Linked DNA regions of Yarrowia lipolytica. The main gene of each other region encodes a partner of the protein of the gene in region 2 in a complex. Links are inferred from orthologs where the notes say so. Each region holds a gene or a part of one and is shown on either strand. Other genes may lie near its edges. The genes, in order: YALI1_C31989g and YALI1_C30399g.

Region 1 (4,148 bases), about 160 kb from region 2:
ACGTACTGTACGTACGTAAACCCATGCACTCGAAACTTTATTATAGTGACGTGACTAAGCTGCAGAAAGAGAATTAGTTGGGAGTTAGTTAGGGAAAAGTTGACTGAGGGCGCAAATAGTGTCCCAGATACGGTAGAAATATGAAACGTACGCCAAAAAATTTATGAAAGTGATCTGGTTGTTATTACTTATCTAACAAGTTACCGGAGTTCTCAGATATAAAGAAATATAATGCTATTCTTGCTTACTTTGAGTTTGTCACTTTACTTAACGTTAGTTAGAACAGTTGAGCAATATGTTACATGCGGCAGCTACAGCTTTACAGTATGTACAGGGGTGTTCTCGAATCAATACTTCCATAAAGTCGCTTGACCATACCAAAAGCCTCTCGCCTTAAGGGGTGATACTTTGCTTGTCTTCATCTGCTTGTAGCCTTATTATTGTCTACAACGTTTATACTTGTAGTAAATACTCGTTACACCAAATCAACTACAATTACAAGTATTCCTTCAATATACATATCATGTAGCTACACCTCCAAAGTTACTTCCGCTGCTCAAGCCGCTCGACAACATGATGCAACTCGGCCACCCGGTTTCCAAGACCCATGAACAGCTTGTATAGCTCCTCCAGCGAAATGGTAAAGTTGTCAATGACCACAGAAGGGTTCTGAGGTCCGCTTTGTTCCAGTCCCACAACACCAGCCTCCACCTCGGCCGTCACCTTTGCCAGCTCCTCAATTCGCTTCTCGTACTCCTCACACTTTGTCTTAAAGTAGTTGAGCAGAGGATCGCCGTTCTCTCTGGGAGCTCCAGCGGGTCGGTTGGAGTTGAGACGGCCAGGAGTCTGACTGGTCAGGTAGCTGAGCAGGTTGAAACACGTCTGCGCCTCTTGTGCGGCAATGTCTGATCGAGTCTTGATCTCGTTCATGTTTTCGGAGTCGTGCACCAGAGCCTCGTAAGCAGTGATGTACTTTCTGGAGATGAGCTCAGCATCTCGGGGGATCGACTCGATCATCTCCTGATGCTGCAGCTTGTTCGTGGACAGCTCATCGCATATTCGGGCCTGCTGCTGAATGTATTCGTCGATCTGTTCAAACTCCTTCTGCATATGTTCCGGTAGATCCGACGGTCTGGTCAGAGGAGTGACGGTCAATTGCTGCTGTTGTTGCTGTTGTTGCTGCTGCTGTTGCTGTTGCTGACCAAATCCAAGTCCTCCAGTATTTGTGTTTGTGTTTGTGTTCTGTCCAAATCCTCCTCCAAAGCCGGTACCGGTAGTAGCAGGCTTAGCACCGAAAAGACCACCTCCTGAAGTAGTAGTGGTGGCGGGTTTTGCACCAAACAGTCCGCCGCCCGTGTTAGTAGAAGCGGCGTTGTTGTTCTGGCCGAAAAGTCCACCGGTGGTGCCTGTGGTTCCGGTGTTGGCAGTATTGGATGTGTTCTGTCCAAACAGCCCCCCACCTGAGGGGGCAGCAGGCTTAGCTCCAAAGAGACCGCCTCCGGTTGTGCTTGTGTTCGAAGTGGTGTTGTTGTTGTTCTGGCCGAAAGAGAAACCTCCAGATGTGCCTGTAGTACCAGTAGTACCGGCAGTGTTTGTGTTCTGACCAAACAGCCCTCCTCCAGTGGTGGCAGCAGGCTTGGCTCCAAAAAGTCCTCCTCCGGTGTTTCCGGTGTTAGAGGCTCCAGCATTGTTGTTTTGGCCAAACGAAAAGCCTCCTCCAGTGTTACCGCCCGTGTTGCTGGTCTGATTGGTGTTGTTCTGGCCAAACCCGAATCCTCCGCCAGTGTTGGTGTTAGTGGAGTTGGAATTGTTATTCTGGCCGAACGAAAACCCGCCACCAGTGTTACCGGTCGTGCCGGTATTGGCGGCGCCAAAGCCTCCGGGCTTCTGTCCGAATCCAGTGCTGCCGAACATGATGTATCTGTGTGGTGATGGCGTCTCTAAAAGTTTGGTTTGTTTTGCTGCATGCTGTTGATAATTTTGCTTATTAAGCCAACAAGGCTGAGGATGTAAGCGGATGGATGGTGTAAACACTACAACAGAGCAGCAGGTAACGGAGGCCATAGATTACTTAGATGAGTACTGCTTTAAAAAAAATCAATACTGCCTCCTTTCTATCATCAATTACATATTTCGATTAAACGCCTTATCTTGAAATTCATGAAGTCGTGGAGTCGAACTCAGGGTCAGTCTTGTCAATCTCTCTGAAATTTCAAATTTGAAGCTTGGTTGGGAGGGAGCACCAGGAAAGACTACAGTACAGTGTTCATCCTACAGTATTTTTTTTCCCGTATCCTTCTTCGTTATTCTGGCGGTAATCGACGTGTGAAATACCCGGCGTTTAGGTTGCTCTAGAACATTCCATTGTGATTCACTGTTTTGATGGAAAATGGGGAGCTATTCTGTCACCAGCTTCACTCCCAATTGCCGTGAGTTCTCTCTGGTTGCTGCATTTTCTGTATGATTGTCCGTATGTGAGTCGAACCAAGATCGATAAACTTTCGCGTGATAATACGGCGGAAAGCATGACATCTATCCAACTCTCGTAATAATAGCCCTATAAGCGTGATTTTTCCATAATTTTGTTTGCTGAAACTAACTAAATACACTGATACTCTACTTTTTTCTATGAACCATCTCAGTCCCATACTTTGTGGAAATACAGTAGGTACTACAGTGAACATTCGGCACAGTACGGAAACTCTTTCCCTCCACTGTCAGACCTGCATCTTCCAGGAAACCTCATCGAAATTCAAAAAAGGGGCAACGCGATCGAAAAAAGACAAAATAGTGGCAAATGTCGTCTGAAATAGATGTGTGCTTTCGTTCTGTGGGTGGTACAGGGCGTGTCACCTTCTCCTAGCCATTTCTACTTACAGTACTGTACGTACTCTGACTTCTCAGTCAAGTTAGTTAATGCAGTGTCTACATTACATTTTGTCAAATTCCACAGCTAAACTCCACAGCTAATCCTCGTAACGTTCTGACTAACAATAACTGCATCGTACAATGTATCTACAATACATACATACGAGATGAACCCTTTCATGCAACCTTGTGTACGGCTATTTTTCGCCCGAAATAACTCAGTTCCAGGTTAGGCAAGTCCCTGTAAAGATTCATATCCTCCGTATGGGTAGGGCACGTTTCTGAAGCAGCCTACAAACCATATAGATACAGTATGTTGCAGTTGTGCTGTAGGACACGTGACAGGCATCCATCACTGCCGGGTAAGGTAGTATCGAGCCATCCACGGCGTTCCATATGGTTCCAATAAGCCGGGAGTCGTTCATCTGATGCACTTCATCTCATCCGGCTATCGGAATAAGTCATACCTGCGCTTCCAAAGGCTTCCTTTCTCTCTGTCTACCGCCACCAATAGTCGCCACTATGCGCATTCTATCGTCGTTTGGTTTCCCTTAAAGTTAAGTGTCTTGTCCCTACATCCCACCACATCACAAGATTTGATTTTCAACAGCAGATACACCATCAATGGGTATTCCTAAATTTTTCCGCTACATCAGTGAGCGATGGCCGCTGATTTCCCAACAAGTGATTGATACACAGATTCCTGAGTGAGTATGAGAGCAGTGAGGGTGTTTTTGGAGATGGCAACACGACCGTTTGGTGATTGTGGGGTGTCTGATCGGTCAGCATACTGATGACCAAAACCACGACACTAGACGACCTGAAGGAACGTATAACAAGAGCCTTGTGACTGGAGGATCGTTTGAAAGCCCTTGTCGAATGTTCTATGTTGTTTCGATACATGATTCAGGCCAGATCAAACCCACAATAACACACAAAACTGTTACCACCACAGCCACATCACAACATTTCCGTGCTAACCCAGATATGACAATCTGTACCTCGATATGAACTCGATTCTGCACGTGTGCACACACAAGGACGCAGATGTGACGTTCCAGCTGACGGAAGAACAAATGTTCCGCGCCATCTTCGAGTACATTGAGCATCTATTTTCCAAAATTCGGCCCAAGAAACTCTTCTTTATGGCCATTGACGGAGTCGCACCGAGAGCCAAGATGAACCAGCAGCGATCGCGACGATTCCGAACTGCCCTCGACGCCGAAAAGGCCAAGGCCAAGGCTCTGGAGGAGGGCACCATCCTGAAGGAGGACCAATTC
Region 2 (5,341 bases):
CCCCCTGCAGGACCCCTTTGATTTTGGAGCCGACATTGTCATGCACTCAGCCACCAAGTACTTTGGAGGCCACTCTGATCTGCTGGCTGGAATTCTTGTCGTCAAGACGCACGAGGAAGCCGATCAGCTGGTTGGTGACCGATCTTTCCTCGGATCAGGTCCCGGAAACCTCGAATCGTGGCTACTGCTCCGATCTCTTCGAACTTACAGGCTGCGAATCAAACAGCAGTCGGATAACGCCACCGCCATCACCAAGTACTTCTCCGACCACCTCTCTGACTTCCCCGCGCTCAAGTGTGTCCACCACTCGTCCTTTCAGACCGAGGACTTTGTCAAGAAGCAGCTTGTGGGAGGCTACGGACCTGTTTTCGTGCTGGAAATGCAGTCTCGAGAAGCCGCCCGAGCTCTGCCCAGCAAGCTCAAGTTCTTCAACCACGCCACTTCTCTTGGAGGAGTCGAATCGCTGATTGAATGGCGACTCATGAGTGACGCTACCACTAACCCTGCTTACCTGCGGGTCTCTGTTGGTGTTGAGGACGCCAATGACCTCATCGGCGATCTCAAGCAGGCTCTTGAGGCTTCCAAATAATCTAATACACACTATTGACTCTGTATCACGTGCATTTCTATTGCTAGCCTCAAGAGGTCTGTCTTGCTCAAATTATCCGCAAAAATAGTCACAATCTACGTAACTTTTAATAGCTATTCATACAATCAATTATCTATATCGTCTTCTTCTCCCTACATGTTAACACTGTTGAGATTGGTGTCCAGAGCAGTGAGCTGCGAATAAACCTCTCGAGGCATTCGGTACTGGATCATGCCGGCGTAAATCATACAGTTTCGAGACCGGGCCTTGAGCTCGGCCAGCCGGTCGCACCGAGTAGCATCGTTGAACTCGGACTCCTGGATGTTCTGGGCCAACTCAGCACAACACGTCATAGTCATGAGCAGCAACGAGGGCACATTTCGAGCAGTGGACTCGTGGAGAGACACAAAGTCCTGAGCACGTCGACGAATGGTGCCTACGTCGGCGGTAACGTGGATGGGGATCACATTGATATTGTCAATCACAGCAATGCAATGGGCCCAGTGGCCACGCGAGTACGACTCCCGAGCAGACACAATCTGCAGAAGAATCTCGCAGGTATCTCGGTTCCGCTGCGACACATGCGAGTACATCTGGGGGTTGTTAGTGTATAGTTCTCGCATGGTGGCGGCCAACTGAGCGGGGTTGGTCGCGGTGGACAGCAGAGAAAGCGACTGGGCAGGCTCCACGTTCGAGTCTCCAAAGTCCATCATGCTCAGTGCGTCACCAAGAGTTCGGTTCATGATAGACACGACAGTGTCGTACTGCTCAGACAGCTGATAAAGGAGAATCGCGTCAGCGAACCGACCGTCGTCCTCAGCACGCAGAGCAGCCTGGGCAGTGATCTGAGTGAGGAAGTCGTCCTTGTCCAGACCAATGAGCTTGGACCGACGCTCAATGCAACCGGGAGACCGAGCTCCATCGGCTCTAATGTCACCCAGAAGAACAGAGAACTGCCGAGTCTCGAGCACAAGCTCTCGCAGGGCCTCGTGACAAGCGTCCTCTTGATCTCGGTAGAAACACAGCAGAACAAGGTAGTCAACAGCATCAACAGCATCTGATCGTCGGAAGTCCCGGGTGTAGTGTCCAATCAGACGAGCAAAATGAAGAACCTGTTGGTCCTTCTTGTCCACAGAAAGATATGAGCCATCGGAGTCCTCGGTATCTTCGGGCTTGGAGACACGCAACAGCCCATAGTAAGCCAAAGCAATGGCATAATGAACAGCATCAACGGGACAGAAGGTAAGAGCATAACTGACAGCAGCCTCAAAAAGACCACATAGAAGGAGCATTTGGAAATAGAGACCGGGAGATTTACCAGAGGGGTTGAAATGCTTGGATCCAAAGTTGAGCACGGTTCGCTGCACGTCCAACAGAGTGTATCGATCCTGAAGAGGGCCGTCCACAGTCTCTCGAGAAACAACAAGATGGGCCCACAGCCAGTCCTCAGCAGTCTCAAGAACCTCGGGGAAGACCTTTCGAGACAAGTCGCATCGGCCAATGATCTTGTACAGAGCAAACTTGAAAGGATCGGAATGAGCATCGAGGAACCGAATGTGCTGGTTAAACTCGGTGAGGATCCGATCATGCATGTCACGTGACAGCACGTGATCCTTAGACTTGACATATGCCTGGAGATAGACGGGGAATGAACGTTCAATCTTCTCGAGCGACGACTCAATCTCAAGAGTAAAGTCGAGAGCCTCCTGAAGATGTCCAGATCGAACCATATAGTAAAGAACAGCCCAAACGGGCACTCCGTTCAGAATTTCCATGTTCTCCTTGGTCCATTGGCCTCCTCGGAAGTACCGCACGTTCAAGTAAGCTTTGATTTTGTTGTAGACTGATGGCACGCCTCCCAAAAGAGCGTCCTGGGGAGACTTAGCAATCTCGGCCTCGACACAGGCGTAAAACTGATGCTCAAGATACATTTTAGAACCATGGGAGATCTGTTTTCGCACCTTGAGTCCGTCGGGGCTGCCGGGAGGAGCAGCGTACATCTTTCTGTAGATTCCTTCTTTGGCAGGAGCCTCGACCGACTCTCCAGAGATGTACGACAGAATATCCCATGCATCGTTGAGCTGCTGACTTTTGGCGTCAGAGAGGTTATCGGCTGCAGTGGAAAGAGCTGCGGACACGGGGAAGGCCTGGCCCTTTGATCGGGCATTGTTGAGCGCCGAAATGGCCTTTGCGAATTGCCGTTGTCGTGGAGTAGCAGTGCCAATCTCAGGAGTGCCCAAGATGAGTTTTCCGAGACTCGCGGCGCCCCAGGTGCCCCCCAGGACTGTCTTTGTCAGCTTGTTGTTTGTGTTGGTGGTTGTGTTGTTGTTGAGGTTGTTCTTGTCGTCGTCCTTCTGGATCAGGCCAAAGTGCTGGCAGATCTGCTCCTTGCGCTTGGCCCAGTCGAGGGACACGTTCTGGTTGAGAAACTGGTCAAAATCTGACGCTGACAGTCGTACAGAGTCTGCAATGGCCGCCAGAATGCTGTCCTGCTTCTTGTTCTGCAGATACGAGTCGATGCCCGCAACATTCTTGTCGTAGTACTCGATCCCGGGATTGAGCGTCAGCGACGACAACTGCAGATAAATGTCCTCCGCGTTGATTCCGCTGCCCGCCAGCAGGTAGTGTGCCTTTGTGTCGTTTCCCTCCGAGTGTTTGTCTCGCAACGAGTTTGCTCGCTTGCCGATCTCGCTCAGATCGAGCTGAATTGAGCCCAGGTGCGAGGCGGCGTGGGGCAGATTCTTGCTCGACGCAATCAACTCGTTGAAAAGCGCCACCGAGGGCGTCAACGTCTCAGCCATGGTTGTGATGTGTGATGGTAGGCGTGTAGCGAAATGTGTGTTGTGGTACCAAATAAACATTTATTTTAGAGTTTGAGGATAAGTGACAGATTATGACCGTGTTGAGGGGAACAGGATATATAGGATACTCGTCTGGAACATAGTTAGAAGAAGCAATTATATAGATGGAGACACCGAGTTGCAATTTCATTACGCTGTTACGCTTTCAGCCGTTTCCAGACATCCTTGTACATCAACAATTGATAGTTAGATAAACTCAACAATGTCAACAAAGCTATCTACACTGTTGGTATGCTACTGGACCTATTAGTTAGCTTTACTTAACCTTTTTTTCTATTTTCCCAACAAAAACGTCCCCATCGTCAGTTCCATTATGATCCATCTAACTCCACCAATATTGATCCTACGCGATTAGTTAAACAGATTACTAACAATATATGCTCCTCCTATTTCAATCGCCGTCTTTCTCCTCATATATCGCACCGAAAATCAGCACATTCGTGCCGGACATTATCGTCCCCTTTTTCCGTTTGAGTTTTTCAACACAAAAAATCTCGAAACCCTATAATGAAACATTTTGACAATACTGTAGTCTTGAGACTGTCCACAGTCAGAAGACCCCTCTCACAAAAACCAATTGTCTTGCACAAAAACATTTTGCCCCTCGATGTTCCTCTTTGTAAAAATATCATCTGATTCCGAAATCTAAGCTTCAAAGTCTCAAACTCATCTCCCGATACACTTCCCCCCCCCTCTCCCGGCTCCACAACCCACCTACACATGCGACCGACGATACACAGGCCGGATCTGGGCACTCTGAGAGCCATTCTGAATGGCCACGCAGATCAGGAAACCGACAATGACACGAGAAAAAGGGTCAAATTGCTCAGATACATCATTGTCGACGTGTACGAGGAACTGGTGACCACGTTTGTACCGCGGTGGACACATGCAGACTGGGCCTGGTGTATGAGAGTTGTGGTTGAAAAGTGTCTGCGAGATATCATGCGTATGGGGCTCATCACCTCTATCTATGATCTTGTCTATTCTCTGTTTGTGGGTTATGTGGGAGCTCCTGTCACGAAGGAACGCCTGCTGAGGTTTGCCGGCGGTTACCACAACCCCTCCACCAAGTTCAAGGATGCCTACGATATTACTGTGGCGTATTTCAGCATGTTTGATCACGACGAGAAGAATGTGCAAGAGTTCTTGGCCGAACATGACGAGACTACCGCTCTGGAATACCTTCAAATGGGCTACCTAGAAAAGACACCGATGTTTCAAGAACAAGCGACGGACGATATAGAGGTGCTGGAGACCTATTTCGCTATCCGAACGTACCTCTGGCGAAACGCAAGGTCGGCATACTTTCAACTGAAAAGAGATGGCGTGGAGGTTTATGACTTTGATGTTGTTTTCGAGCAGCAAACCCCTCCTTTTCTGCCGAATGTATTCATCAACCTCGCACTCATCTTTTTTACGGCTTGTGGATGGCTGCCGGTAGGAGACAATGTTGGACTGTTCAGATACCAGAACATGTGGTTGGAGAACAGAACTAAAGGAGACCCGGGACTTCAGGACAAACTGTATGCCTTGTTTAGAGCCCAAGGAAACCCCAGAAGTGACTGGGAAACGTGGTGGAAGAAGCTGAATCCACTTCAGCGAGATGTGGCTCATGATCGCATGACTCTCATAGGTCCTGGACTGCTGGACGTGGCTTCTACGCCCTCACCCAGACCCGTGGACCAATTCCTGGTCATGTTTCCTAGGGCGACAACAGAAGTTAGCCCAACAGTTCAGCATTTTGTGGCAAATCAGCTCCAGATGGGCCAGGTGCTGCATTCTGAGTTCCTACTCAGCATAAGGAGATACAACAAGATGAGATGGGACAGAGAGCAGTCGAGCAGGCTGAAAAAAGATACCGGCACCAAATGGGATGGCCCGAAAGGGT

What was found.
Region 1: YALI1_C30399g (region 2) and YALI1_C31989g share a complex: the UniProt entries of both Saccharomyces cerevisiae proteins name them as parts of the nuclear pore complex. The link is inferred for Yarrowia lipolytica from reciprocal best matches to the Saccharomyces cerevisiae genes NIC96 and NUP49.

The regions. Positions count from the first base shown.
Region 1 is NC_090772.1:3,196,817-3,200,964, reverse strand, and holds YALI1_C31989g (uncharacterized protein), read right to left. Parts: upstream 2,065-4,148; coding exon 544-2,064; downstream 1-543. Other genes in the region: YALI1_C31971g (uncharacterized protein), read left to right, coding at 3,493-3,575, 3,854-4,148. UniProt on the Saccharomyces cerevisiae protein: Functions as a component of the nuclear pore complex (NPC).
Region 2 is NC_090772.1:3,038,107-3,043,447, reverse strand, and holds YALI1_C30399g (uncharacterized protein), read right to left. Parts: upstream 3,451-5,341; coding exon 742-3,450; downstream 1-741. Other genes in the region: YALI1_C30440g (uncharacterized protein), read left to right, coding at 1-589; YALI1_C30392g (uncharacterized protein), read left to right, coding at 4,171-5,341. UniProt on the Saccharomyces cerevisiae protein: Functions as a component of the nuclear pore complex (NPC).